4 linked regions of the Oreochromis niloticus genome follow. The main gene of each other region encodes a partner of the protein of the gene in region 4 in a complex. Links are inferred from orthologs where the notes say so. Each region holds a gene or a part of one and is shown on either strand. Other genes may lie near its edges.

Region 1 (7,792 bases), on a different chromosome or scaffold from region 4:
TCACGCGGACATCCACGTGGCCACCGGGAGCTGCGGAGGTGGTGAGACGGAGCTGCAGCTGACGGAGGAGGTGCGGGAGATCCAGAGGGAGCACAAGGACCAGAGGATCGGTGTGTCGGTGGAGCGTGATGAAGATACCAGCTGGCTAACTAAACCTTTGTTGTAAAGGCTAATAGTTTATAGACTGTATATAAAAGATACTTCAGTTTAAACTTCATTCTGATTGAAAAACTTTTAAAAGGAAACACTGGAGATTAATTCATTGTGACGTAGAAATCAGAACGTTTATTTACAGAAACATTTTCGTGAAGGTAAAAAACTTGATCAAACATGGCAGATATTTACAGTGTGTACAGAAACCTCTGCTGACTCGTCCTGTGGCGTTTGCTCCTCAGTACACTTTGGCCCTGCGGAAGAAGACGTAAAGTATGAACTTTAGTATTTAAGGAAACGACTAAGATTTGTACCGACCCAAAAAGCCCACATGAGGACGCCATCACCTGGAGAAGGCGGATATGGAGATGAGCCCGAGCAGGAACTCGAGGCCGTAGAAGCAGAGCAGCACGGCGTTGAGCAGGAACTCGAGGCGTAGGACGAAAGTCTGCAGCAGAAGGTAGTACACGGCGAGCGCGGTGCAGGGGAGCAGGACAAAGAGCGACATGCAGGAAGCCAGAGAGCGCTCGCACAGGTTTCCCTTCCAGCCTGGATGGAGACGCAGTTTGACACTCAGTTTGTGACGTGCGTGTTGTGTGTGTGTGTGTGTGTGTGTGTGTGTGTGTGTATGTGTGTGTGTGTACACGACATGTTTTTGTGAAGCACTTTGTTGTCAGACACATAAATGTCTGAGGCGACTGTTGTTGTGATTTGGTGCTATATAAATAAAATTGAATTAAATTGAATTGAATTAAATAGGAGGTGGCAGGAGCAGCAGAGCATGAACTCAAGACAGATAAAATCATCTTATCTGACTTCTTAAAGGACATGAAAGACCATTCCTGTTATAAATAAAGATTTATTCAAAATGAGACGTGACTTTGCTCACCGTAAAAGATCCGCAGAATCTCAAGAGCGAGGAAAAGCAGCAGCAGCACGACGTCCAGAACCAGGTTATCTGACGGGTACGGCAACAAAACTCCTGCAGAGAGCAGACATCAGAACGCCATCACCATCATCATCACCATCAACATCAATATGACCCCATCATCATCAGCCTCTCCATCTTAACAAACACCATCATCTTCATCACCATCATAATCCTCTCCTCCAGTTTAAACTGTGGAGGCTGTTAATTGGATTTAACCTGCTTAAATAAAGTTCTACAGCAACGATGGACCCACGTATGACTTCTTAACAAAGTGAGTTTCAGGCTGCAGCTGAACAAAAACAGGAATATTAAGCTTTTTTAATGTAAAAATAAAATGTTAAGTTAAATGTGACTCGATCTTAAAAAATAAAAGCACATTGGACTGAGTTCAGACTTTTGTGGGTTAGGCGTACATCAGCAGACCTCCTGAAGGACTCCGATTTCTCTCCGACTGTAGCCCGGCACAGTCGTAGCCGGGCTATGACTGTGCACTTTCTGAGCTTGGAAGCTTCGACGGTAAATCAAGTGCCCCTCAAACTCAGTCCCAGTTCAGCTCGAGCTCGCAGCGCTCGGTCAAAAAGCCCAATTCTCTGTCCCATTTAATCGTCTGCGTGAACGGCACCATTTCTCAAACTCTGTCTCTGAGTTCTGCGCTGCAGGAGAAAGAGGAGGTAGAGGAGGATGCTCTCACACACCTTTATAGATGAACATGAGGACCTCGGCCAGGTAGAAGGCAGCAAAGTACCAGCTGTTCAGGTAGAACAGCACCTGCAGAGGAGCGGACGAGAGCTGAGGAAGAGGAGGTCAAGGAGAAACAACGGCAGGCACAAAGTCACATGACCTGCAGCTCTGCGTTAGAGTCAGGTGAAGGATACGATTGGTTGGCTCCCTGCAGGAAAAAAAGTGGAAACAGGAAGCAGAAGAGTGAGTTACAGACCACAAACAGGACAGATCAGATTACTGATTAACCTGCTGATTGTATTGGTGATCTTGATAATATTATTAATGATATAAAATGTTTAAATATTTATTTAAGTGATTTCGTTGTACACACAGATTTGCAGGTGTGCTTTCTTTCTTCTGTCTCTTTTGGCATATCTTTGACGTTTCTAATGTCTGTGATTGTTTTTACTGCATTTAATAATTTATTTATATTCTTTTATTATTCTATTCTTTATAAAGCAGCTTTGCGCTCCAGGATGTCTGAACTGGGGATTGTCGTTCATGCATCTATGTCATCACTTTTGAATTATAGCAATTTTCAAATTTCTTTGTTCTCTTGTCTTAACAAAGCTTCGCTAGAACGTCTGCAGGTCATTCAGAGTGCCGCTGTGAGGGTTCAGACTGAGTCACTGCTGATTCAGCTGCTTCAGAGTGCACTTTAAGAGTATGGTTTTGACCTTTAGAGCTTTCCAGGGACAGGAACCTACGTACATCTGTGAATTTTAACATCCATACGCTGTCAGCAGCTTCCCGTGGTCATGTTGTCAGGCTCTGAGTGTCTGAGATCTGTGGACTCTTAAAAGTCAGACTAAAACTGATATTTTTAAACTTCCTGTTTAATGTGTTGTTTTTTAGGCTTTAGCATCTTTGTTTTCAGTCTTTTCAATGTGACTAACTGAGCTGAAGAGAGTAAATAAGGAAACGCAGCTGCTGTTTCTGTGTAAAAACATGTGCTGCGGTTCTTTATCAGTAATGTTAGCGTCTCTCTGACTGCTGTGGTTTGATGAGCTGACAGAAACCTGACGTGTTCGCTGCTCTGACCACGCTCAGCCTGCTCAAAAATAAATAACCATATACAGTTTTATTCGACCAGTAAACTCTCCACTGACTTTAACCTATGAAATATTTAAAACTTTAACCCTGCACCTTTACCGATTTATCAACAACAAAAACCTCACACTCACCGGGCGCCATGTCCGCTTCAGCCCTGTTGCCGTGGATACCGTTTGATTTGGTCTACGCATGTGTGAAAAAGGCTTTTTCCCGCTTTGGTCTTTCACAGTAAAAGACCACGAGATTGTTTTCGTGGTCTTACAGTAATACAAAATAATAATAACAGGCATACATCAAAGCATTTTAATAACAACTCAGTTTTACTTATGAAATTAAATATTTGTTTTCCTTTGCTAAATAAAATTCAATTCAATTCAAATATTTATTGTCATTGTCAGAAAACAATGAAATTGCGTGAATAAAAATAATAATAAGTGTAAATATAACTCCAGTGCAATAAAACAGTCCCCAGCAACAACATACAACATGACAAGTAATATTTAGAAGTTGGATATGGTTATTGTCCGTGAGAGAGAGGGGGCAAAGAGTTCAGAAGCCTCTTGTTTTTTTTTAAACAATGTCTCATAAACGCACATTTTGAGTATTTTTTTAAGTACATAAACTAAAAATAAATGATTAATCATGATAAAATTATTTATCATTCATTTTAGAAGCCCAGAGCGTTTAGAACTACGACACCCAGTATCCTCCTGCGGTTAGCCGATTGGCCAGAGTGCCGCAAGGGTTTACGTGGCACTGCTGTGACAGGCGCATGCTCAGTGTGAGTTCCGTGTGTCCCGGCAGGAAGATGGCGTCGCTCCGGATCAGGATGCAGCCGTGTCTGTTTTCAGTTTTACTCCTGAACGTTTTGTGCAGCTTCGTCTCCGCACTGTACTTTCACATCGGAGAGACCGAGAAGAAATGCTTCATCGAGGAGATTCCGGACGAGACCATGATTATCGGTGAGAGGGGGGTGGGGGATCTGTGGGATAATGCTAGCAGCTAGTTAGCCGAGCAGCTAACAGCTCAAGTTTAGTGTGTCGTGTCTTCAAATATGTGTGCACTTTTTCAAAAAAATCTAAACTTAATTAAAATAAATATTATTAAAAAAAAAGTTCACGATAGCATGATTTGATTTTATAGTAAGGAAAATCCCCGCAAAAATCTAAACTTTAAAGTGTGATTAAAGTTTTCATAAAGGTATTTTTCCATTAAAGAAAGCTGTTGAAATAATAATCCATCAACACTAAGTTTAAAGTGGATCCTTTGGCCCGTTGAATCCTCCTCTATAATTTAATCCAGGTTAGATTAAAGGTAAGTTTATCTCAAAGTTAACCAGCCCTCCTCTGTTTGAATGAGAGAAACTAGCACATGGTACATACTATCAGTCTGGCAAGAAATCTGTCCGTTCAAAGAAGCTTTTCTTTCAGCATCTTAATCTGCACAATTTTCATCAGATTAAAGGTTAATTCGGGATCATTTCAAGTGCATCTCTCACTAATGCATCTGCAGACAGAGTAAAGCAGTGAACTGAGAGTCTGCGGTTAACTTCAGGTTGTGATGGTGAAGGTGTTTTCTAAAGAAAACAAAGCGAATTCTGTTCCTGTTGCATTTACTGTATTTGTTTTTTGTTAACTGAAACATAAAGTTCAAAACATAAAGAAAAAAGTGGACATATTCAACCTGAAGTTGATAAACTGATGTTGGTTTCAGTTCGAACCCATATTCATTCAAACTGCTCACTAATCAAGCTGTGTGTGTGTGTCTGTGCAGGTAACTATCGGACTCAGCTGTATGATAAGCAGACGGCGGAGTACCTGCCGGCCACTCAGGGTCTCGGCATGTTCGTGGAAGTCAAAGATCCTGATGACAAGGTGAGCATAAAGTTCATATACTTAAAGAGTCTATGTGGCGTCATGCTGTCGTGGTTAACGCTCAACTGTACAGCCACATATGCCTCATATGTGAAAGGTCCTCAGATCAAGACCAGGAAGAGACAAAAACCCAGACTCAGGAAGTCACAAGCTCAGATAAATGGGGAGGATTGCGTCAGGAAGGGTACCTGGAACAAAATAAATCAAATGTGTGGATCCATCCGCTGTGGGTTTCAGCTCAGAGTAGCTTATATATTTTGACATATGCAGTATTTTTACGCCTGGACTATGCTCGAGGAGCTTGGCAGGATTCACAGTAGTTCAGTTTAAAATGTTCCTCCTTCAGCTTATACTCTGAATCAAGATGTATTAGCTCCTCCGCCTTTAAGCCAACTTGTTCTGATTGGCTGCCAAAGCTTTGAGCAACAGGTGGGTGGGACTTCCTTGCTTTGTGAGATTACAGCGATGCAGAAGAAAAAAAGTGTAATAACCTGAGTGTTCAGAGCAGGCTGCAGCTTTAAGCTCTCAGGAGTTAGAGTACAAATGCTGAGACTTCTGCTTGATGTGGAAGATGTTTTGTTTGTTCCCTGCAGGTGATTCTGTCTCGACAGTACGGTTCAGAAGGACGCTTCACCTTCACGTCGCACACACCTGGAGAACATCAGATCTGCCTTCACTCCAACTCCTCCAAGTTCTCGCTGTTTGCCGGCGGCATGCTGGTGAGGAGACGCTCAGACATACAAACGAGAGCTTCAGCAGTTTATTCCTTTCTGTTCTGATCCGTGACGTTCATAACCGCGGTTTGTGATTTTTGTGATGTGTTGCAGCGCGTTCACCTGGACATCCAGGTGGGTGAACACGCCAACAACTATGCTGAGATCGCTGCCAAGGACAAACTGACGGAGCTGCAGCTGAGAGTCCGACAGCTGGTGGAGCAGGTGGACCAGATCCAGAAGGAGCAGAACTACCAGCGGGTCAGTCAGAAACACTCACTTCTGCACTTTTTTTGTGTATGTCAAAAGCACATGAAGACTCTGAACGTGAATCAGAGCCGCTCATCGCTCAGGCTCTTTGATATTATGTACACGCCCAAAACAATCAGTTTAACAGAACATTTTCACCACTTTACCTGCTGTCAGCACCAGTTTCCTGACAACATGAAAGCCTGTACTCTCCACCAGACTCCATTCATGAAAACAGCTGTTTTACCTCCTGATGTTCTTCTATTCCTGCCTCAGCTGGTTATTTAGTTTTATTGTGACTAAAAGTCACCAAAGTAGAAAAGCAGGAACCCATGTTCTTTTTCTGTCAGTGAAGTCTACATTTATTTAATTCAAATATGAGGTTTATGTTTAAAACGTTTAGTTTTTATTATTTTTGCTACAAACTCAATTCTGAGAATGTTCAGACACTGTGTATTGTCATAGCTGTCAAAAATGCCAGCGCTCAGGTTTAATGGGCGCCCCCTGCCGTCTGTTTTTCCCTCAGTACCGTGAGGAGCGTTTCCGTCAGACCAGCGAGAGCACCAACCAGCGGGTCCTCTGGTGGTCCATCGTCCAGACCCTGATCCTGGTGGCCATCGGTATCTGGCAGATGAGACACCTGAAGAGCTTCTTCGAGGCCAAGAAGCTGGTGTAATCTGGAGTCAGAGGGTGTGTGTGTGTATGTGTGTGTGTGTGTGTGTGGTGTCTACTGATGGATGCAGTACTGAGTGGCGGCGGCGTTGCTGGCGGGCGGCAGAAAAGACCCAGCTGCAGGATTTGGCTTGAAAAACATGTTTAAGATTTTTGTTGTTACTGTTTTCGTCACCGGCCGTGATCGTGACGAGCGTTTAACCTGACCAATCAGGGAATGTGTGACCCACCCTCTCCTCCATATTTATTACAGCGCCCGGCGGCGGAGCGATTTTAGATTTTCTCCCCCTCGCTCGCAGCATGTGTTACTGGCCCATAAAGATGCACGTCTGCGGGACACGATAGTCACGTATATGTGTGATCTGAGCTCAGAAATGATCTTCTGGATTCAGTCGTTAATCCACAGATCTGATGGTTACTGAGACGACGTGTGATCTCAGTGTTTGCGTACTCGTTACCAGGGACGGGAAAAGTTTTCTCTTTTTTTTTGCAACGCTGACTAAAAGTGGGGTGTGATTTTAACGCTGCCGCTCACGTGATTAAAGATCTGAAACTGTCTTATTTTATTTTACTGAAACACCGAGAGTTGTTTCGATGTTTCACTTCATCACATTACTTTCAGGTTCTGGATGTTTGTACGCGTTTTTTGTGCCGGTCGGCGTCGCTGCAGCTGTCCTCTGTGTTTCGAGTCTGCTGCTTTTGAGAACATCTGAAGCAGGCTTTGCTCACTGTAATCAGTCCCAGAACTGATTTACTGAAAGACTCCTCGAGCTGCTTCAGTTCAGGGGCTCGTTCGAGGCTTCGGGCGATTTTCAAGGAAATGTGATATCTTTGGTCGACCGTTCGGGGTGATGGTCACTGATCTCAGTTCAAAACTTTTCTGTTTTCAGATGAGATTTAGTTTCTTTATAACAATAAAGGACGGGTGATCGTGTTTTCAGTTTTTAGAAATGTTCCTGTAGGCGGGCTTTAAATCGGATGGTGAAATATTTTGGGGTCGGGAGAGGTGCTTGTTATTATTTTTTTTAGCGTCCACGTGAAACTCTGTGATTGCACTCAGAATAAAGTTCAGTTGGTTTGAAGGATGGTGTGGTTAAATCACATTCTTGTAATATTCCCGCCAAAACACAGCTCATAAAGTCACAAAGGAGTTTTTATACACAGTAATTGTTTTCTTTTAAGGGGAAAGATATTTTAAAAGAATCCTGAGTATTGTGACTGCAAAATATAATAAAATTTAAACAAGAAATCAACGTGTTTGTGTGGTTGATGAAGTCAAATTTAAACTGCTGTTATAAACCGTCAAGAATCACTGTTTGAGGTGTAAAACTCGAAGTGTTATTGTATATTTGGGATGTTTAATCCAAATATTTTCAAGTATTTCATATAAAATATACTGCTTTAATTAAGGTGATCAGGGATTT
Region 2 (8,308 bases), about 37 Mb from region 4:
TTGCCAAGCTTGGCACACAATAGTCTGTTGCCTAGTTGACCAGAATTTATAGTAAACAAACAGATTTTCAGTACCTGCAGGTCATCTAAGCACTGGTAAAGCTGGCGGTTGGCAAGGTTGAGCTTCCTCTGAGTCTCAGCATTCTCGTCTTTTGAAGACATAGGCTCTTTCTGGTCCAGCTCTCCGCGATAAAAGTCCACATCCTGCTGGAGCTGCTCATTCTGATGTGATGCAGGAACACAGACGTCAGTTCAGAAAATGAACCCCCAAAAATTTCCTCTGCTCACTCACAAATATGGAAACACTAAATTGACTTTCAAAGCCCCTGAAATACAAGCCTTTCCTGCTTTTCAGTATACTTTGAACAGCGATGGATTTTTCTATGATAGTTTATAAGAAAACACGCAGTCTAGAAGGTGTCACCTTATGTATATTAAATATAAAATATGTGTTATAATTTATAATCGATCAGGTTAGTAAAGTTCACTTTGTGCACAAAAATCAAAAATCAAAACTTAAACCCTTTAAAAGCCCAAAATTCTGCTAAAATTCCATTATGTTAAGGATTGCATATTGCATATGATATACTTCTTATCATCATCCTACTCACTTTTTGTATGTACATTTATAAAAAGCTGTGATGCAAAAAAACCCTCATGTACACCTTTATATGGCTACAAAACCTACAAACTATACCTCATTTCACATAACCAAAAACTTAGTTTACTTAACTACACTACCTTTGTGTCTTACCTTCCTCTTAAGTTTTTCTAACTACACCACGGAACAGATGGAGACAGAAAAAAAATAGATTAAAAGGAGATAATGAGTAAAAAATGAAGGTAAAGCATGAGTACACAAAACTTTTAAATAAAGTACGAATGGATCGTAACTAAACAAGGGATGAAAAGAAATGACGAGTGTGATGCCCACTATCAAATACCTCTCTTTTCAGCTTCTTGATGACTTCCTCAGCCTTCTCTACTTGCACAACCAACTAGAAAGACAAAACCAACTTTACAATGTAGAAACATCGAAAACATTCTGCTGTTGCCTTGTAACCATCAGAAAACGATGGAAAGCTGGAAGCAAACAATGTCAAACAAGATTAGCAAAGCAACAGATGAGTCAAACCATTTGTATCGTATTCTTGTACTGGTTGTTTTTGTATATAAATATGTGCATACATAAATATTTTCAGTTTAACGTAACATTCAATCTTTTCACCAGCATGTTGTTTTACCAGCGCTTTGTCAACATAGCATGTGCAAACTAATGAGCTAACATTTGCAAGACTACCTATGGCAGGTAAAGTGCTCATACCTCCTCGTTGGTTTTCTTTTCCTTCCCCATTTCTTTCTTTAACTGGGTCACCTCATTCTCCCTTTGCTCCAACTGGGTCTCGAGGTGCCAAATCTGATCTCTAATAAAGCCGGTGTTCTGCACAGTGCTGTGGAGCTGAGTAGTACAAACAGGAGACAAGATGCACACCCAAACAACCCCCACAAAGAAATCTCTTAGTGTCTTATTACCTCCATCTGTTCATATGTGTTCATTTCCATGACCAAGTTGTTAAACAACGTTCTGTTCACGTTTTTTAAGGCATAAGAACAACCAGAATATAAGTAGTGACAATACACAACCCTGGGAAAATTGAAAATGGTTAACAATTCAAAACGATAAGCAATTTCTGTGAGTGCGCAAGGAATTAGCTGTAATCTTCTTAGGGGTCACTACAGCAAATCCCTTCATAAGGAGGGTTACGCTCAATGATTGGCTGAAAGAGTTGGCACTGCTGAAAGGAAGTAAATAAGCATAGAAAATGATATCAAACCACATAAACATTTATAATGATGGCTGAGTTCAACTATGTGAAGAAATAACAGTTCAGCAGATCAACAAAAATGCCCAATACATAATGTGTAAGCAATAACATATACAGTTCGTTTTTTTATATATATTTAAAAACTGGATTTTATTTACCTTCTGTTCTTGTTCCAACTGTGACACCTTAGCCAGGAGTTCTTTTTCTAAAACACAGAAAAATAATGCAGATGTTGTTTATTAACCTGACAGACAAAAAAGAAAAAATGTCTAACAAACTTTATATGATACTAACCTTTTCTAGCATGTTTTACACCAATGTCATCAATAAAGTCGAAGGCAACAGAAAGTTCTCGATCTCTAATCTAACACAGAAACGTAGAGAAGACGCTGAGAAACAAATATTATTTCAAAGGAAATATTTCAACATGCATAAACACGTAAAAGCACCAAGGTCAGTAGTGTGACTCCTTTATGAATATTCTTCTTTCCTAAAAATACATTACAGATGTTGGTAGGGTGGGTCACAGATGTGCGTGGGAGAGATCAGAATATAAAAACAATAAAACTGAACACCTTCAGCAGGGCCTGAAACACCCTGAGGACTTGAATAATGTTCTCTGGAGCTTTATCCTTCACACCCCATTCTTCTGTCTGCGTGGGAAAAGTCAAATGTAGAGTCATTCAACCTCATAATACCAATGCTTGTACGACACAACTGCCTAGACCAAAACAATCTATATTTATACGTGTAATATGACGAGGTGTACAAAGACTGCTCAAGGTTCAATCGCAGCACTCAGGCTTATGCGGAAAATTCATCAAGAGCTTTCAGCATAAGTTAGATTGTTATGTGTTGTATCCAATGGTCACCGAAGGCATGAAAAATGTAGCATACATAAGTACATAATTGTTGACCAATCAGTGGTCAATCAGTGATTGCTATACTCAAAATAATAGTCTCATATAAGCAGGACTATAGTCTGTCTTTATTCCATCGGCCATCAAAGATAGACAATCACTGAGCTGATAGAATTTGTAAATTAAAAAATATAAAACATTGCTTGTTGGCCAACCTCCAGAAGTAAATAACATAATGTTATTAATAATGTTATCGACGGGCAATTACCAAAACTAACATATCGAAGACCTTATCCACTTCGTCTTTGTCGCGTTCATTGAGGGTTTCTGGGTCAATTCTCAACACTTTATCCCAATTAAGAGCTGCAGGCATCTTGGCCATGATGTGTTTTAAAGACTTAGCTAAATAGGAACTGATATAACATCGATGTGGCACTTAAATTGACGGTTATAGAATAGAGACGCATTGGCTGCTAGGTTACGGCTGACAACAACAGTTAGCTAATGAAGCTACTCCAGAAGAAAACTACAAAAAAATCGGTAAGGTTCCCGGAAACTTAACCAAACCGTAGCGAGACGGTGAATATAAAGTTATTAAAGTGTATCGTCGCAGTTTTGCAACTCGGTACTGTCCATATTCACGTCAGTTAGTCCACAAAAAGCATCAAATCTCGCTAGGTTCAACTTGCGCGGTCACCTCTGCACCGGAAGTGATAGTGGGTATTCGCCAAAGCTACTTAGCACATATGGAACGCCGCTTGATGAACTGTGTATTCCGTCTATGTTTTGTCAGCTAAAGTGTGTTTTATGAGCTCAACTATCAGCCCTGTTATAGACACGGTGAGAAAGACCTAAGCTACTTCTCTTCCCATCTTATTCAGCCTAAACACAGATGACAAGGTAGTTAGCTGTAGCCGCTAATTTAGCTTCATCGTTAGCTAATGTTATGTTGCAGTTACGGCGGGTCTGAAATTGTCATTACATGCTGTTTTGGGCTTTTTGTGCCATTATGTAACCATTATCGATTGGTCACAATGCCGACTGAATTTCATTTATCAAACACCTGGTGTTCGATTTCTCGTAGCTAATCCTCTCGAGTAAAATTAGCTGGCCACGACAGTGCTGTTGGAGTACGCCCTCCATAGCTTTTGCTGCCAGCTGTCACTGTACCGGTAACCAAACTATTCGGTTTTTCAGCAAATAAGCACAAATTTAGTCACTTGTACTTTTATTCGTTCTATAATTTAGCTGTTATATTTCCATTTACATCTGAATCTGTAGCTTTATCAACAAACCGAGGAGGCACACTCTAAGAAGTAATGCTGGCATGGCATTTAATTTACTGGGTGCTGTGATGAGGAATCGGGCTAAGAAGACTTGTTTACATACACAGTACATCACAAAGTTGCACTATTAGTGAAAATATGTGTCCAAAGATGAAATAAGTTTGAACTTATAAGTGTCTATTTCACAAATCGTCATGCCATCAAAATTGTAATAATACTAAATCTTTTGTTGTCCTGCACAGTGATCAATGAAGGCTTTGGTCAGCAATGGCTGTTGTGTCATGGAAGGAGATTTTACTTTTGAGTGGACTGGTGGTGGGGTGTTACTGGAACAGCTTGTCATGCGGGTTTGTGTTTGATGATGTCTCAGCAATCCTTGACAACAAGGATCTGCGCCCATCAACCCCAATCCGCAACCTTTTTCTCAATGATTTCTGGGGAACACCCATGGCTGAGGTAAGCTTTAAGAAGAATCAAACTCAATACGAGGTTATGTAATTTCTCTTTAGAATTTTATATTACGGATCTAATTTGTCTTTTTGTCATTTGTTGTTACTCAAAGTAATTTAGAGAGAAATAAACCTCCAACATGTGTCCCACTACAGGAGCGCAGCCATAAATCTTACAGACCCCTGACAGTACTCACCTTTCGACTGAACTACCTCTTCAGTGAACTCAGTGCAGCTTCCTACCACCTGCTCAATGTCATTTTACATGCTGTCGTATGTGTGCTTTTCCTGCGAGTGTGCCGATTGTTCCTGGACAAGACTTCCAGCTTGGTGGCAGCATTACTGTTTGCTGTGCATCCCATTCACACTGAAGCTGTAAGTGTACATTTGTTTGGCTAGCAAATGTTAAAAAATGTGTTTTATTAAATTAAATTTGGCCTAATTGAGACTTATGTTCGTGTACAAGTCCATGAAAAAGTGTAAATTAGTGAGAGAAGTAACTGGAAATACTCCCAATTTATCTTTCACTTTCTAAATTAAAGTAATCTCATCAAGTTATGCTCCACCGGATGGGACAGACCCACTGGGAATTATAGACAAATGCTAAACATTGGTCAGGTGGTCCTTGAGTCCCATCTGCAATCCGACTCCTGACTTCCTCAAAATTCTCATGTTCTATTTTAACCATTTCCATGAGCATATGTTAGGCAAAGTTTTAGGAAAAATGAGATAGAATACAAGGTCACTTTTTTAAATTTTAGGGACATCTGTCTGGGTTTGCATAACTAAGCATTCCACTTGGCTATCATGGACGATCTATCATGGATCGTTCACAAATCTGTTGCAGGGATAACACAGATACACAACCATTCTAGTTTAAATAGATACTTCTGGCCAATTTAGAATTGCCAGTTAAACTGACCCATGCTTGTCTTTGGTACCGAGTTGCAGCACTTTGGACAGTGGGCTCCAGCCAGGGTATCTGGAGAGAACTTATACAAGCATGCAATGTGCTAACACTGAACTGGAAGCTAGGTCCTTCTTGCAATGAGGTAACATAGCCAACTAAGCTGCCCTAGCTAAGCACAGGGTTTTCCACAGAAATTATAACCACTGGATGTCCCACTTGATCTCTAGTATCGCAAACCAAACAAGCAGTAGTGTCAGCCACACCTTCACTCTTCCTTTAAAACAAGATAGGTGGCTTTGTAAAATACGTGAGAAGCCCTGCAATATTCCAACTTAAGCTGAGCAATTCACTTGATAGTGCTGTAGAAGTATTTTCACCGCACTGTAAATGTGGCTGAATTAAAAGGATTCTGCATAGAAGAATGGGCCAAAATTCCTTTAGATGGGAAAGACCAGTTATTGCAAACACTTGCTACAATGGCGGTACCAGAAATTATTAGATTTTGGGGGGGGGAATTTCTTTTTCACATAGAGGCAGATAGGTTTAGATAACTTTTTCCCTTAATAAATGAGTTTTTAATTTAATAGCGGAATGTTTTATTTATTTAGGTTATCTAATACAAATCTGAATGAAGTCACAAACATTAAAATAAATTAGGAAGGGGACAAAGATCTTTTGAAGTTTGAAATCTACATGTGCAATAAGGTGTTAAAGAGACTTTAATATAGAAACAGTGTTTACATTTAAAGACTTTGTGTCTTTGCTAAGCGGTGTAGGACAGAAACTTAGCTTTGCGCCAACATGTCCACTGTGGCATCAAATCAGAATGCGTTTCAGTGATTGTTAAAATTGCGTTAGAGGGAACCAGACAATAAACAGCAGTTAAATTGTCACATCTTGCCTGTTATGGCTTGCTCAAGAAGGGACTCCACCTTATTCAAAGAAACCCTTTTGTTCATGCTCATGATATTAGCTTACTTGTGCTACACGTTACATTAAACCTCTGTTAATGCAGCCTTAAATGGCAACAGTAAAAACATTCTTTAAATGCTTTAAAATTATGGCTTCATATTTTTTTTCTTTTTGAAATATAAAGATTGTTATTATAGCTTATCATGGATGTTGTCTGTAACACAAAGCTTATTGAACTTAATAGGAAATCAAAACCCTTTAGCTTATTGTTTATTTGAACTTTATCTCATTCTACTGTCTGAAAAGCCTCTTCCCCAATTAGGACTTGTATTTCATCCTTTTGAACATAGCTGAACTGATGACCAGACAGGCCTTGACCAGAGTAAAAAAACAAAGGAAACATTCTGCTTCTTGGGTGTGGAGTGCTACTGTTACACAGCATGCATCACTGTTCCTATCTTCCTCATCATGTTCTCTAATCTATGCACAGTCTTTCAGACTTCTTGAATGGAAACAATTTGCCTCACAAATGAGCCTTTAGTGTTAGTCCAGCAAATGCCCTTCATGTTATCACCGTCTGGAATCTCTCACTGAACGGGTCATTTGTTTTTTGAATTATGCTTCAAGCACTGAAGGTCCCTGCATTATAAGCTTATACAAAGAGTGCCTGTGTGTCCCATGTCTTTTTCAGTAGTTTTTTTTTTTTTTTTTTTTGGTGATCTGTCTTTTTGAATGAGGACTTCAGTTTTTTTTGTTTTTTTTATATCTTCAAACATCTTTAGATACAAATTATTTAGTGTACACCACACCAATATCTTGGGTCAAACATGGCATTAGGGTGAAAGGAGTTGCCAACTCTGTATAGATGGAAAGTGAAATTTGTAGTTCGAGTATTTTCAGGAAATTGAGCCAACTGTAATCAGTCTTTCTAAGATTCTGTTGAAGTAACATTGCACTGACCAGACATTTTTAGGGGGCTCTTGAATGCTGCCAGCATTTTTTCCTTCTCCCACCAGTTGACAAATAGGTCAGTCAGAGCACAATGCCTGTGCTTGTTTTGAATCTTCATGGCAATCCCTATTTATTGGAAGCTGCAGCCCTCTCATGATGCCAGCTGAATTCTTAAAGTGTAAACAATCCCCTCTTCTTTTAGTGAGTGCTTTGTAGAACTATTTGTGGGACCTTTATGTTCTTAGAGTATGTCTCTTTCTAAGAACTTGATAATGATATTTCTTCCGCATGAGGGCAGTCATCATGTACTTAAATGACAGACGTTGCTGTCAGAGAGACTACGTTACATATAATTGCGTGCCCATCAGTTGATATGCGCTGAACAGAGCTTTTTTTTTTTATTTTTATTTTTAGAGCCTTAGACCATGAGCTCTGGTTCGTGCCAGTCGAAGACACGTGTGTAATGTTCTCAGAGTTATTAGATATGTTGTCTGAGGCATGGAGGTCATGTGGTGGTGGCTTCAGACTCAGAGTCGAGGTAAAGTAGCATGGGCATAGAATAGCACCTCCTAATAGGAAAAGTAAACTTTTCTGAATGATTTCACAAACTTATTTCTGACACTTTTTTTTATCTACATTTCAACTTGAATTACCAAACAATGAACATTTAAGTATATTTTAAGAAATCATCTTTCCAAATCTTTATGGTTGGGTCTCTGTGTTGATTGACTGTTTATCATCAGGTCACTGGTGTGGTTGGCAGAGCTGAACTTCTTTCATCAATCTTTCTTCTGGCTGCTTTCCTGGCGTATACAAAGTCAACTGGACCAGACCATTCCATTGGTAAGTATAATGTTCTTCCCTGGCCTTTATTTATTTCTGTCTCATGTGCAAAATCTGCTGGGTCGTTAAGTATGAACTTATTTTCAACATGCTGGTCTCCGTTAAGATTATATCATTATTTTAATTACCAAAATAAGCAAATACATATACAAAAAATCAAGACAGGGGCAGTGGAAGTGTTGTGGCAACAGATTGGATAAGATCAAACACCTGGGTATTCAGGTGTTAACTTCCATCTTTTTTCCACCAGTGTTTTGATATAAATAAACACT
Region 3 (7,262 bases), on a different chromosome or scaffold from region 4:
TCGGTCATGCTTGTCAACATCAATGTTGGCTCTTGCTTCTTCCATAGTCACAAAATCAAGGATCTTTGCAAAACATTTCAATAAAAGAAATTATTGTCACACATGTTAAAATATGGTTCATTAACTGTTATTGAAATAACTCTTACTTCAAAGAACAGTATGACTTTGGGGCCTTCGTCATGTTGTTGAACAAAGTAGCCAAAACGTTCATTGAAGATGATCTGCTCCTGCCACTCAGGGATGACTGATTTGTTCTTCTTGAAGTCATAAGGCTGGGTCATGATGGGGAGAACGTGGTCAACGTTTTCCTGCTCATAAAATGAGGATACGGGGCGATGACTACAAAAAAGAAAAACAAAATGTGAACTGAAGGCAAAATGTGTTATAATTCCAAGGTTTTGGCACTGTTAAGTGGCTTATAAATAAAAATAACTATGGTCCAAATAAAAACAAATAACTATGGTCCAATTATTTTAAGGTAAAAATATCTAAATAAAAAATGTGCCCAGAAATTGAAACACAACATTAAACTTAATCGCAGAAATGTCTCACCAGTCTTCTTTCTTCACATATTGCCCTGTGGCTTCATCAACGACGTGGATCTTCACCATGGGGTGTGAAATCATCAAGTCGGTCTTGAGGCGGTCTGTTCTGTGAATGTACACTCCAAGAACAAGGTTGTCATCAAAAACTGGTTTCTGAGGTGCTTCTGACTCCGCTTCACTCTGTTCTTTGACAACTACAAGGGGAGAAAACAAAATATGAAATGGATTACCATCAACACCTTTATACACCTTTAACTGGAATTTGATGAATCCTGAGAATTATCGTGCAATCACCATGTTTTTTCTTCTTCTTTTTCTTCTTTCCCTTGGATTCTGTTTCATTTTCCACTTCAGCATCCAGGTCTGTATCTTCATCTTGATCCCTGGAGGCAAAAAAAGAAGTAGAAAGAAATCAAACACTGTTGCCTTATCACTAATTATAACTCCATAGTACACTAATAGTTATACACACCCTGGATCTGAATCTGTGACTACAGATTTCATCTTTTTCTTTTTCTTCTTCCCCACATCATTGCTAAGCGTAACACTTTGCGAGACAGCACTCTCATCTTCTCCTTTGACCCTTGTCCTCCTTGAAGTCCTCTGCTCCTCCTTTACTATCTTTTGCTGGTATTCATGCAATAGGTTATCTTCTGTGTCCTCCACCTGGCTTGCTTCTTTAGCCTCTGTATCTCCTTTGCTTTTTCCCTTTTTATTTTTCTGCTTTGGGGCCTTTCCACCTACAGAATCATCTGGATCCAATGGAATTTCAGGTCTTGATGCATTTGCATCTTCTTGGATGTGACTTCTGATGTCCTCGGGCGTAGGAGGAGAGGGAAGGTCCCTCTTACTTTTTCTTTTAGATTTTGATGTTTTAATCTCCTCTTGGTTTCTATTGTTGTTAAAATTAACCTTCTCTGAAATTTCTCTCTCCCTTCTTTTATTCTTTGTGTAGCGAGGGCTGCCCTCTTCTGGGTCATATGTGTTCTGGAGGATGGTCTCATTGTCTTCTGTGTCCTTCTCAAGGTTGAGATTTTTTTTTAGATTCTGAAGCTAAAGAGGAAAAGGGAAGGAGGTGTCAGTACTTACAATCTTTTTATTTTGTTATTTATTAAACTTCCGCAATTAAAATATGTCCGACATGTTGTATGTTTTGGAAGAGGGGCATCATGACAGCCTTGTTCACATAAAATGCAGAATCCACAAGGATTCTGGACTATTCAGAAATAGTTTTAAGACATGTCCTGCAAGTTCTATATGTTTTTGCCAACATCTGATGTAAAATTATCAATAGAACACAAGAAACACATACCACAATAGTCTCCGGTGTTTCAGTGCTTTTCTTTTTCAACGTTTTCTTCTCAGATTCTGTGTACTTCTTGAAGACTTCATTAAATCTTTCCCGGGTTTTTGCCCGGTCTTCACTCTCACCTATAAAAGGGAACATTTTATATAGATTACATGACAATGCAGATTAGACTTTATAACATAAATAAGATTAACTACACGTTGTTGATAACACTTCTGTAGATTGATAAAAAAATTTTGCAAAACTTGTAACTGCATTTTTACACTACTGCATCACACTAAGTAAGAGAAGTAAGAGTAGCAATGCAACAGACAGGGGACAAGTGAGGTGAAGAAGAGAGTGCAGGCATGGTGGAGTGGGTGGAGATAAATATGAGAGGAAAGAAGGACACCCTGTCACCAACGTGACAGGGAAGGTTTGCAACATTTTAGTGAGACCTAATATGATGTATGGTTTGGAGATGGTGGCACCAAGAAAAAGACAGGAATCTGAGCTGGAGCTGGTGATGGAGTTGAAGATGTTAACAATGTTAAGGGAGTGACCAGAATGGACAGGATTAAAAATGAGTACATCATAGGGACAGCTCCGGTTTAAGAGTTTGGAAACGCTACCGAAGTTAACGAAACAAGACCGAGGGGGTTTGGGCATGTCCAGAGGAGGGGATAGCGGATAGATTAGACATATGTTAAATATAAAGTTACCAAACACGAGGAAAAGAGAAAGACTACAGAAAAGATCCGGGAATGTAGTGAAGGAGGAAATGCAGAGGGATAAGGAGAGATGCAGGCAGATGATGTACTGTGGCGACCCCAAATGGGAGCAGCCGATAAAAAACGGCATTGCTACTTTAATTTAAAGAACCTTCCACCATTGGAGTGAGGAGGGAACAGCAGGAAACTTACCTGCTGGCATTCTTAGACAGCGTGATGTTTCTCTTTCCGAGCGCAAAATGAGAATAATCCAAAACTGAAGACTCTCATTCTAAAAATACAGGATAACGACGTTAAAGTTGCACAACAAAATCTCTACTGGGTTAGCTATGTTTTGCTAGCCAAGCGTTTAGCACTCTAGTAAAACAAAACCGTATTAAGTCTCCCATGGTGTTTAATTTGCTGAAATCAGAGTATAGGAAAAAGTACAGTTTGTGTGAACCACTAACCTTAGCCACTTTAGCAGCTAGCTTGCTAAATGCTTCTGATAGCTCACTGACTTTGTAGGGTTACTACATTTGGTAAGATAATATTTAGGAGCTTTAACGAACAGTCTGAGTATTAAAACAAACCTCGCTCCACAGTAGCAGTCCGTAAAAGTATGTATAAGAAGCAGAAGAGTTGGCCGAGGGTTAGCGCATGTATCTACTCTGCAGTGATTGTGCTGTCCTCCATCTTTAACAACAACGCTTCGACGGTTTCCAAGTCAACAAAGCTGAAAAAGAAAGGCGGAGCCGGTGAAACGTAATCTGACGTACATACAAAAACAACAAATTAACCAATCAAAGCTGAGGACAGAATTTCATAACAGAGATATATTTACATGTTTTTTCTGTTATGATTAGCTTCACTTTCTTCTTATTTTATGTCTACCTCTAAAAGCCTGATGTTTATCATAATCTTAAATATAGAAAAATCTGTTATTGCATTAATACAATGGCCAGAGAAGAAGTATCCTATTAATTTATTCAAGTAATGTAATGTTTTTACCCGTGTTGCACTTTTTTGTAAGCTGATATACACTTTACACAGTTCACATAGAATATCATACAGTTCTACATCACAGTCACAAAGGCTTGCACACAAAGAAAGAATACAATAAATTTGTAGCCTAGAACAAAAGAAACGCAAACGAAAATACTACCAACCCAATATGAAGGCTACAGAATTCCACAAACTTGCACAGCCGTGAAACGCCTAAAATATTTAAATATTAATTTTTATTAAGTGTCACGATAAGTTTTACTTTTAAAGTTGTGTAGAGATGCAAAAACCTTAAAGCTAGAAGAGCAAGATACTTTCGAGAGTCTAAATTTACCTTGCAGTCACGTGACACAGCAGTAGGCGTGTCTACGTGCAGGTTGTGTAAAATAGACAGGTGTCAGGACCTTGTACAAGATGCAGTCATGGCTTCAGGGTTTTGTGACACCTGCTCGCGGTTGTTGAAGGAATTTGCGGATCATTTGAGGAGCGCTTGGAGAGAGCTGGAGCTCAAGATAAAGGAAGCTTTCAGAGAGATTGGACGGTGCAACTGCTTTAGGATTTCATCCGAGAGAAGGAAGGCTTTTGATTTGCCTTCCTTACGCCTCAACTGTGGTAGGAAAATTGCAGCCATGCATATTTTTTTTTTATGGAAATCGCTGTAGAGGAACAAAAAGCGAGGCAGAGGGCCTCTGTGTTATTTAGAAAAATGAAAAGCATCAAAGTAAACGTTTAGACAACAACTTCTTTAAACTTTCATACTGCATGTGCTATTACTCTTCAAAGATGTACACAAGTTTATATGATCAATTCAATTAATCTCTTTCCCCCCTCCCAGACAACGAAACTCAACTTCTCAGCCAGGAAAGTCTGCAAACACTGAACAAACTTGCAACCTCAGAAAACACTGATCTACAAATGACTTCAGCCATGTATTATCTACACCTCAGTCATCATCGTGAGTAAAGATTTCACGTTTTTGTTTCATCTGACAGTATTCCTGATAGCAGTAACTTCCAGATGATCAGCTGTTGTTTGCACTTCAGGTTTCATCATAGGCCTCTATCAGTTACTGCAGAGATATTTTCTCTAACGGGTGTGACCAGTATGCAAATTTCCAACTGTATTTTTTTTTCCCCCAAGGCTGGCAGATAAAACGCCCACTTATGGACCCATGTGTTACAAAGAAGGAAGAATAAGAGGATTTTACTGTGAAATTCACAGTATGCTTTATTATAATCTGCCAACCAAGAGCCCAATGGTGCATATTAGCTGAGGCTTCTTCTTTCAGTACAGCATAGACAGTTTTCTGTAGTATATAAATGGGTGACCAGGTGTTTTGTGTATTGGTGGCAGTTGACAGATTGCTGTGTTTAGATGCTTGAGGTTATAGCACAACTTATGAGGGATATATCTTTTGAATTTATAATCAGCTACAAGTATGTAATTCAAATTTGTAACATTTAACTTCTGCAAGTAAGACTGACATACAACTACTATAAAATGGTCTCAACTCGAACATTGTTCATTCTGACAGCAAAAAATGTGACTTAAGTTTCAAAGTGTGTTACTTTTGCCTTCTTTGTGTGTTACAGTGAACTGTCCATTACCAGATGCCTTCATGGAGCCCATCATGGCTCTACTTTTATCATCTGATCTTGATGTTCAAAAGACTGTCTCTCTCGCCCTTGTAAATCTGTTAGTAAAGAATAATGGTAAGAGATAATAATAGTAAGATATTTACATTATTATAATTTTTTTTAATTAATCCAGAATTTTAGTGATTTTGATAGTATGATTCTAAAAGCTCGTGGTCTTTTGGAACAAATGGCTTATTTATGATTTGCCATCCATAAAATTTGATTTCAGTGTGTAAAGAATTGGTGATAGAAATGGGGATGCTGGTGCCCATAATTGAGTTGTTCCGGTCAGGTGATCCCACTGCTCAGTGTCACTCCTGTGCCTGTGTTGCCATGTTGGCCTCCTCAGGTTTGTACAGACCTTCATTTTTAAAGTATTTTTCGACACGGTTTAGAAAGTACAAACACTTAATTTTAAAAACTTATTATGTATTGCAAAATAAATGGCAGGACTTTGAGAATGGCTAGAGAACTGAAGACTTATGAGAAAAGTAGTTATTTTGTTCCATGTGCTTCTTGAAATGACCTCTCCTCTGTCTTGCTGAAATTCTGCTAATTTGTTTTGGGCCACTAGCACTCCAAAATTGTCCCTGCGTGCATAGTTGCTATTTCATCTTTCTTTCCAGAGTCAAATCGAGATTCTTTGATGGTCGATGGAATCATACCACTCTTGGCTTTAGCAAAATCTTTTGATCCAAAGGTCCAACGGAATGCAACTTGGGCTCTATTACACCTCACGCAGTCAGGTGGGACCATTTCATTTGAATGTCACTGTGCACTTACAGTTGTGGTTAGAAGTTTAGATACACTCATCATTGGTATCAATGCCATGGTAATTTAGGGATTACTTTGAACTGTTCTTTTTCTAGGAATGATTGTGCAGTAAACATATTTATTGAGTTTTAAAAAAACAAAACAAAACAAGAAGTCTGTGCACAGTTTTGAATTTATTTTGGATTTTGTCTAATCGACCCAGGGTCAAAAGTATAGATGCAGGCTCAGATATACACACATCCTTACATTAGTGGGGCTACTAATGTTTTGTTAAATTCCCTTTAGTAAGTTGCACCTCAACCAGATGTTTTTAGTAACCATAAACAAGCTTCTGCAATAATTCTAGATGAATATTTTACCAATTCTGCCAAGAGAGGTAGTTGAGTTTTTATTTGTTTGTTTGTTTTTGTTTTTAAATAGGGTTGAGGTTTGGGAATCCCACTCCAGAACCTTAATCTTAGCCTGCTTTATCCATTCCAAAAACCAGTTTTGATGTGTCTTTGAGATCATTGTCCCTTTGGAAGACCCAACTGACTCAAAGTTTCAATCATCTAGTTGTTAATTTTAGGTGAATTTGAAGGTATTCCTCCCTTCTTTAGTATTCCACCAACTTTGTGCAATGTACCAGTACCACTGGAAGCAAAACAGCCCCAGAGTATGATGATACCACCACCATGCTTGACAGTTCAGTTGATAGCCTCACCTTTATTGCTCTAAGCACACCTCTTGTCTTTGTGGTATTCTCTTTCTTGGTCAGCACCCTCTCAGCCCAACTGGTGTAAAACTTCATGTGAACAGTGATGCTGATGTTCCTACGGTTTTCAGACAGTCTTGAGCCTTGGTGGTTCCTGGGTTGCTGAATAAACATCCTAACCAATTTTTTCTCCTCTGAGGGTGATGGTTTAGGTCTTCTTTTTTTTTTTTCAGAGATGGGCAAAGTGGTGACAAATCCTAATAACTTGTACTTATGTACAGTTGTTTAAAGTAATGCTCTTTAAACCTGCAGTTGTTTAGAAGTGGTTCCAAGAGACCTTCCTAACTTGTGTAACAGTTCTTATTGTTTGTTCTTCACTGAGTTCCCTGGAGTTTCCATTGTTCTGAGTATTGGTCAATCCAACATGTGCTCTCAAACAAATGCTCCTTATGCAGGCATAAAGAAGAATTGTAGTCAATCATGATCACTAACAAGGAGTTAATTTGCCGTGGTGTTAGGCCTAGAAGCTTGTTCAATTCAATTCAATTTTATTTATATAGCGCCAAATCGCAACAGAAGTCGCCTCAAGGCGCTTTATATTGTACAGTA
Region 4 (7,211 bases):
ATGAGTTGAAGGGAAGTTATGAACTGTTTCTGAGAGACAAATAACACCAGCATCCTTTTCTACGTAGCTGACAGCTGGTAACTGTGGAGGGGCGGGTCTAGCAAAGTGTTGCCAGGGGGCCAGGTAGGGCATTAACAGGGAAAGGGGGGCACAAGGAAATACTTTTCTTTATTATTCTCATTTAAAATGTCTCGCTTTTAAAAAAATAATTATCTGAGTCTTACAACAAACAATTGATAGATTGATACATATATACCATCAGAACAGTGTACATCACTGTCACAACAGCGTTTGTTTTCATTCAAAGGCTTTATGATTTTTCCTATAATGGTGGGCCGGTCTCTAGTCAAAATGCCTGGGACGATTTTTTTGTCCCAGTCCAGGTCTGTATGCAGCTCATCTGCAGTCTGGTGTTACCTACATCTTCCTATTCAGAAGGCAGAATTTCCAAGTTCTGAGTACAATCAAAAGCACCACGACTGCAGTTTTTGTGTTGGATGTAAAAAGCAGGCTAGAATCATGGCGGCGGTCAACGACGGTCCAGGCGTGGGATTTCTCTGGTGGAAATGTGCACATTATTTTTTCCTTTCTATTGGTAGGTGGCACAGTGCACTTGTGGCAAGTAAGCAAGCTAGAAGACTGAAGCAACACATTAACAAGAGAATTCTGAGTAAAACCAAAGTTACTTTCCCTAGTAACTAGTTACTTTGAAAGTAACGAGTAACTTGAAGTAACTGAGTTACTTTTTTAGAGAAGTAACTAGTAATGTAACTAAGTTACTAATTTAAAGTAACTTACCCAACACTGACAGTTACACACTATATAGAACAACTTTATAGAATTATATCTGTTTGCAGATGTTGGCAGCTATCAGCTATTTTGAAACCAAAAAAAGACTCTTTTTATCCATAACAAGAACTCCATAAGAGTAAATGAACTGTACAACAGAAAACGCAAATGCTATTTATGGTCTCCTCACAACAATGATAAGAAAAATGAACTGGGCCAATATGGCATGTTTGTTAATACAGGGATACACATGTTAATGTGATCTCTGGTCTCCCACTCAGAGACACAGGTCTCCGAGTGTCCAGCATTCAGACGGCTACCCGAGGACACTCTTCATGTGAGAGAAAATCTGCTCACACAGATATGTAGAGCCAAATACTGTCAATAAGGCCTCTGCAATGTTCTCAAGACAGTTAAACTTGTCAGGTAGTGATGTCCAGCAGGTGAAAATGCAAGCTCCATGAACACACACAGCTGTGGATTCCAGCTGTGTCTGTATTTCTGCAAACTTTGACCCCACAGAGTCGAGGTTTTTATTTCAATCAGCTGCATTTTGATGTCGCATTACCTGGCATTAACTCAGCCAGTTAATGTGAGACAAATCCAGCTGCTCATTAAAGCTTTCTGGTTTGATCAGAAAAAAAAACATTGGTCCATACACCTGAAAGTCCCAAAAACGCATTGTGAATTCTGTCTCGAGTCTACGGATGTATCTGTGTATTTCCGCTGTGCTGATGCTGCACTGAGCGGGCAGCTCCTGAAGCATTTGAAGTGTCGGAATGTGGAAATTTCAACATCGCTTGAAAAAACTGCCAGCTAGCAACGTCCCTCTCACCGGTAGGCTAAGTTATTTTTAGCCAATTACAAGTTGAATCTGGTAGTTGGGGTTGTTAGCTAAGATACCATCATTAAGAAGCGGCACAATTAATGTGTCTATGCGAGCTAATTTGTGATGTGCGCCACTGGCCCGGCCATTTATTTTTTTAATGCACCTTCTCAGATTAATTCACTGCGTGTCGTGCCCAGGGCTGGACTGGGACAAAAAATCGGCCCGGGCATTTTGACTAGAGACCGGCCCACCAGGTATTATAGGAAAAGCCATAAAGCCTTTGAATGAAAACAAACGCTTTTGTGACAGTGATGTACAGTCTTGTTGGTATATGTATGATTTCTATACATTCTATACATCTGATAAAAACTTTGGTTGTAAGATTCAGATAATTATTTATTAAAAGCGAGACATTTTAAATGTGAATAAGAAAGAAAAGTATTTCTTTGTGCCCCCCTTTCCCTGTTAATGCCCTACCTGGCCCCCCTGCCAAAGCTTTGCTAGACCCGCCCCTGCACAGTTACCAGCTGTCAGCTACTTAGAAAAGGATCCTGGTGTTATTTGTCTCTCAGAAACAGTTCATAACTTCCCTTCAACTCATTCATGTCACCTAAAAGGTAAACCTGTTTCTCCATCACCTGTTCAGCTCTGATGATTCAGTAAGGACATCTCCTGGTTTCATCTTCATGTTTCCCTCTCACCACATATCCAAACCGATATCATGACCAGCAGCTTTTACAGCTGTGGCTCCAGCAAACATCAGCTGATACTAGAAATTAATATTAAATAAATTCGAACAACAGCTGATCAAGCTTAAACGTACCGCTGTTGTTTAGCGCGAAATCCGCTGGTTTCCTCTTTCTGGCGCAAAGTGGGCGATAAACAAACAAGAGAGAAAAGCCGATCAGCTGATCATTGATCAGTTTCATGATTGAAGTAGCAACAGGAGAGAGAGGGGAGAGAATGAGAGAAGAAGAGGCAGCTGACAGCGTAAAGACAGAAACACTCCGGCTTTGTGTCTTTTTCATCCTAGCTGAAGTCCGGGACAAACTGTGTTCCTTTTCAGCTGAATACGAGACGATTCCGTTTTTTAGGGGAAAGTTGGCAACTCTACTAACCTTATGAATAAAATAAAGTTCACTATCAGTAACATCATAGCACACACCCAGCTGTATAGAAAATCCGTCATGCTAGCTAGTACGCAGTACGAGTTATTGTAACTGACTGTAAAAAGTCAGCACAACGAAAATAAACTCCACCTAAACTTGTTTTATATCTGACCCAGATAGACTGCAGGTCATAACTTCTTACCTGAAGTTAAGTTCACCTGACACTCGGTCTCTCCTCCTCCTGCCTCCCCTTTCCCTCATCCACCCGCTGGCCTCTGTGGAAGCTCCGCCATAGCCACCACCAAACAACTGACTTATTTTTATACATCGGCCAGCATCTGGCCAATCCACCACCTTTCATTGTTTCATTGTACAAGAAAAAAAAAAAAAATCATCGGCCCGGGCAAATGCCCGATATACCTGATGGCCAGTCCAGCTATGGTCGTGCCAACAGTCAACCCTTCGCGCCCAGGGTTGCTGACCCCTGGTCTAGACAGTGAGATAGCAAAATTGTTTCTGTAATTTTACACATTAATTTTTTACAATTTAAGCCCAGAGTCATTAAGACTGGTGTTACTTTTTCACTAACTACATTAGAAAAACGTTATCATGTAACTATTTGGGCTATAAATGTGCAGTTAAACCTCTGGTCAATGACAATAAGCAGAGTTTCACTTGTCTGGCCCACCTATCTGTATGTGGGCCACAATGTAAAATTTGAGTTTGACATCCGTGTTAATGCATAATGAACCCATCCAACCATCCATAAATAAAAATAAAATAAATAATAATAATAGTAACAAACACAAAATTATTTTTAATTTTGATTAATTTTCTATTGAGTATATTTATAATTATTTACATATCTTGTAGCAACTAATGTCTTGTTTTAAGATGAGAACTACCACACAAAATTTCGTTATGTGACTGCATAGTGAAAAATAAAGAATATCTGGATTGGCATGCAAAACAGTCTTAAAGGGATGCAAAATGAACAGAAAGTAATAAAAATAAATAAATAACAACAGACATGTTCGCAGACATGTATTTGCGTCTGTTTTCAGTTCGCAACTTAAAACAGACGCAAAAGTGGCCTGAAACAGATGCAAATTGACCAGATGCAAAACGACCGAGACGCAAAGAGACCCAAAACAACGTGAAAGAAAAACTAAAAGATAATCAGAGACCCAAAGTATCCTCAAATTACAAGAAATAAATGCAAAGTAAGCACAAAAACATGGAATCCCTGCATGCAAAGCTTTTCTGCTTCTGTTTTTTTTTTCTGTTTTGTGTGACCTCTGCTAAGTGTGCTCACCGTGCTGCTATCGCGTGAATGCAGCACAAACGCGAACACTGGCAGCCATGGCAACCGCCAGACGCTAAGCTAGGAAGGAACATGGCGCGGTACTTGGTGCTAACATAAATAGCACGTTAATTCACTGTGTTTTTTGACCAATGCCCTACTAGAGTCACTTCATTACGGAAGCGGTTGGATGGCTAAGGGATAATTTATGCTTCCTTAGCATTTTATTGTCGGTTTGCCCACGCTGGTCCTCCGAGGGTTTTTCCGTCGGTTAGCATCTTTGCTATCTGGAAGATTGAGCTGTTTATACCTCCAGCACACTTATGGCTTCCTATGAGGTGTACTCTCACCCGGCTTTGATTCGGTACAAAACCAGCGTGTGCACGAAAGCCACGCTGTTCCTGGTTGTGGTTCTGTGCCTCACCTACATCCCGCCTCTGCTGGTTGCTTACAGGAGCCAAGGTACATTTACGGTCCAGAAACTCTACATGCGCTCTAAAAACTACACCCTTTAGCAGCCACGCATGCCACGCTAATTGAAGCAAAATATTTGTTTGCACGTCACTCATGGAATAGCACCAGGGTTGCGCCACGCAATGGGATCTCCATAGTTGTAAATAATGTTAGCTGGGAAGGCAAAATCCTGTGGCACTTCCTCTATTCTCCCAAGTCTGCTAGGTATCAAAGCATGGCATAAGCCATGAAGTTTTAAATTAAACTGATAAAACTCCAGATTGAAGCTTTTATACACGTATTAAGATTCATTCATCAGACTTCATTTATCTCCGTCAGGAATCACAGGCTCCTGGTTTCTCTTATTGCTCTTGTATGACTGTGAAACATTAAAACGCTTAATTCATGTCTGCTTTAAAAAGAAAACACACAGAAAGCATTGCGCGTGGTTGTTTGATTGCATCACAGGCAGTAATTATTTTCATGTTTATTATTACAACTGATAAACAAGTGGTTGGTGGTGTCCATGTGTAAAATGACAACAGAGTTGAAAACAGAATTCGTCAGTAACATCATCAAGCTGCTTCTGTTTTCTAAATGAGAATAATTTAAGAAGGGTAATTTATTATTATTTTCACTGACTTTGAATACAGCATGGTTGTTGGAGCCAGACCGGTTGATTTGGGTGTTTCAGAAACTGCTGATTTACTGGAGTTTAGTGGGATTTCCCCACACAATAATCTCAACTCCAGTCTCTAGACCTCCACGGAGTGGTTCACCAATTTATTTATTTTTTTGAAATGGGTGTTAGTCTGATTTATTTTGCATATGTTTGTAATTACACCAAGTAGGTAGTTGTAGAAAACTGAACAGTTTGAGTCATAATAAGTGATACAAATATGTGCTCGCTGTTTTCAAACTTGTTTTTAATTTTAGGTTTTTGGATAAAAAGGAGCACTTATGAGGAACAGCCAGTTGTGAGATTCCAGTACCAGACTCTGCTTGTTGCAGCAACCAGTACTCAGGGAGAATATGTCGCCTGGAGCACCTTCCCCCAACTTAACAACATGCTAGGAGCCAACCTCCGGATTCCTGCAGTCACTGTAAGAATGTGTTCATAGCACCCTACTCAAATCAGTTCTCTGGTAACAAACTACAGCAGAATTGATAGAAGATATAGAATAATCCTTTAATTGTCCTACAAGGGGAAATTTGGGTGTAACAGCAGCAAGAAAGACACATACAAATAAACAGTACACAAGACACAGAACAGAAACATACACAATTTTTACATATTTACATCAAGTTGAATGGTTACCAAAAACAGAGTACTGTACAGTTATTAAATTAAATTAAATTAAATTAAATACAGATAAGAGGCAAACCCTGGTTATAGTGTGAATCGGTTGATAAAATAGTGCAAGTTACTTCGCTGATGTAAACCTCTATGTTTGTTGGGAGCAGTTTTGATTGTACAGTCTGACAGCTGCAGGGAGGAAAGACCTGCGGACCATGATATTTAGGTAATGAACTTAAGCACTGTGTTCACAGTTGATTGGTTAGCAGGTGACTGGATTGGATTAGATGAGATTAGACAGGTGATTAGTGGTAATGCTAAAATCATAATTTAGAAGTAAGAAACTTTGCCGTGGCATGAGCTTCATTTTCGTGCTCATTCTGTGTATGTGTGAATTGTGCTTTTCACTTTAATAAGTGTGCAGAAAATACCCTAAAAGGTTATTCTGAAGAAAAAAGCAGAAACAGCAGAAATGTAACCAGTTAGTTAGTGCGTCAGTGTTTTTCATTAGTAGCACCCAAGCATAGGGCTGCTCAATTAATCGAATTTTAATCTCGATTACGATCTGGGCTTTCAACGATCATTAAAAATGACTGAGCCGATTATTAGCACCTCCCTCGTGCTTTACTCTTGCGCTGCTCCGTGTGGCAAATCGAGCGCACCTCTCTGCGTTTTGAACACGCGTCACAACAATTAAGAGGACCCGAGGGAAGCTCTGAAAGCTAAGCAGAAGTTATTTGGAGAGGAGAGGATAACGGCTGCTGAAGAAAGAATGCCGTTGGTTGAAAAGAGAGATAAAACGACTTCAGTGGTGTGGAAACATTATGGGTTCGCGGAGTCAGACGTGGATCAAATATTATGCAGTATTTTGAAGTTCACTAAACATAGATGTTTACATTTTTCTTTTATTTTTTATATTGCAAACATTTCCACTGTAATCAGTATTTGCACACTATTTTATACTATTTTTTGACAATCTTTAAAGCCATTATTCAATACATTGTTATTGTTAAGTAAATATCGTCCAATAATCGAGATCTCAATTTCAGTGAAAATAATTGTGATTATCTCCAAAAGTTGAATCTGTTCATCTGGACGTAGCGTTTTGTGGGAGAAACGTTTCGTCACTCATCCAAGTGACTTCTTCAGTCTCAGCTGACTGCAGGTTTCCCTAAACCTTATAAACAGTACATTTGCATAATGACTGAAACCAGCCCACTGAAGGAACAATGGGCTGTGAGGTCAGTTCCTTAATCATAATTATGCAAATACCCATGACCATTGATCAACAATCACTGACCAAAACCCACTGATCAAAGAACACTGATCAATGGCCATGAGTACCATTCACAGAGGGAAAATTGTGATTATCATTTTTGCCATAATCGAGCAGCCCTACCCAAGCAGCAACTTATGGGGCTGAAAAATGAA

What was found.
Region 1: tmem231 (region 4) and tmem216 share a complex: the UniProt entries of both Homo sapiens proteins name them as parts of the tectonic-like complex. The link is inferred for Oreochromis niloticus from reciprocal best matches to the Homo sapiens genes TMEM231 and TMEM216.
Region 2: tmem231 (region 4) and cep290 share a complex: the UniProt entries of both Homo sapiens proteins name them as parts of the tectonic-like complex. The link is inferred for Oreochromis niloticus from reciprocal best matches to the Homo sapiens genes TMEM231 and CEP290.
Region 3: tmem231 (region 4) and ahi1 share a complex: the UniProt entries of both Homo sapiens proteins name them as parts of the tectonic-like complex. The link is inferred for Oreochromis niloticus from reciprocal best matches to the Homo sapiens genes TMEM231 and AHI1.

Annotation. Positions count from the first base shown.
Region 1 is NC_031966.2:8,581,088-8,588,879, forward strand, and holds tmem216 (transmembrane protein 216), read right to left. Parts: upstream 3,079-7,792; 5' UTR 3,002-3,078; coding exon 2,992-3,001; intron 1,974-2,991; coding exon 1,960-1,973; intron 1,874-1,959; coding exon 1,780-1,873; intron 1,136-1,779; coding exon 1,043-1,135; intron 703-1,042; coding exon 501-702; intron 408-500; coding exon 392-407; 3' UTR 259-391; downstream 1-258. Other genes in the region: tmed9 (transmembrane emp24 domain-containing protein 9), read left to right, coding at 3,633-3,822, 4,634-4,734, 5,328-5,453, 5,562-5,708, 6,223-6,372. UniProt on the Homo sapiens protein: Part of the tectonic-like complex which is required for tissue-specific ciliogenesis and may regulate ciliary membrane composition.
Region 2 is NC_031972.2:41,787,597-41,795,904, reverse strand, and holds the start of cep290 (centrosomal protein of 290 kDa), read right to left. Parts: upstream 3,097-8,308; 5' UTR 3,068-3,096; coding exon 2,954-3,067; intron 2,479-2,953; coding exon 2,401-2,478; intron 2,190-2,400; coding exon 2,120-2,189; intron 2,031-2,119; coding exon 1,984-2,030; intron 1,459-1,983; coding exon 1,324-1,458; intron 998-1,323; coding exon 944-997; intron 775-943; coding exon 754-774; intron 222-753; coding exon 75-221; intron 1-74. Other genes in the region: tmtc3 (transmembrane and TPR repeat-containing protein 3), read left to right, coding at 4,239-4,427, 4,577-4,795, 7,937-8,036. UniProt on the Homo sapiens protein: Involved in early and late steps in cilia formation. Its association with CCP110 is required for inhibition of primary cilia formation by CCP110.
Region 3 is NC_031983.2:20,287,187-20,294,448, reverse strand, and holds the start of ahi1 (jouberin), read right to left. Parts: upstream 3,310-7,262; 5' UTR 3,137-3,309; exon of another isoform or gene 3,014-3,136; intron 2,836-3,013; 5' UTR 2,767-2,835; coding exon 2,757-2,766; intron 1,977-2,756; coding exon 1,858-1,976; intron 1,599-1,857; coding exon 1,018-1,598; intron 929-1,017; coding exon 840-928; intron 740-839; coding exon 553-739; intron 340-552; coding exon 147-339; intron 64-146; coding exon 1-63. Other genes in the region: vacuolar protein 8, read left to right, coding at 3,971-4,160, 4,384-4,503, 5,141-5,260, 5,415-5,534, 5,812-5,931. UniProt on the Homo sapiens protein: Involved in vesicle trafficking and required for ciliogenesis, formation of primary non-motile cilium, and recruitment of RAB8A to the basal body of primary cilium.
Region 4 is NC_031972.2:4,918,316-4,925,526, forward strand, and holds the start of tmem231 (transmembrane protein 231), read left to right. Parts: upstream 1-4,063; 5' UTR 4,064-4,353; coding exon 4,354-4,492; intron 4,493-5,419; coding exon 5,420-5,586; intron 5,587-7,211. UniProt on the Homo sapiens protein: Transmembrane component of the tectonic-like complex, a complex localized at the transition zone of primary cilia and acting as a barrier that prevents diffusion of transmembrane proteins between the cilia and plasma membranes.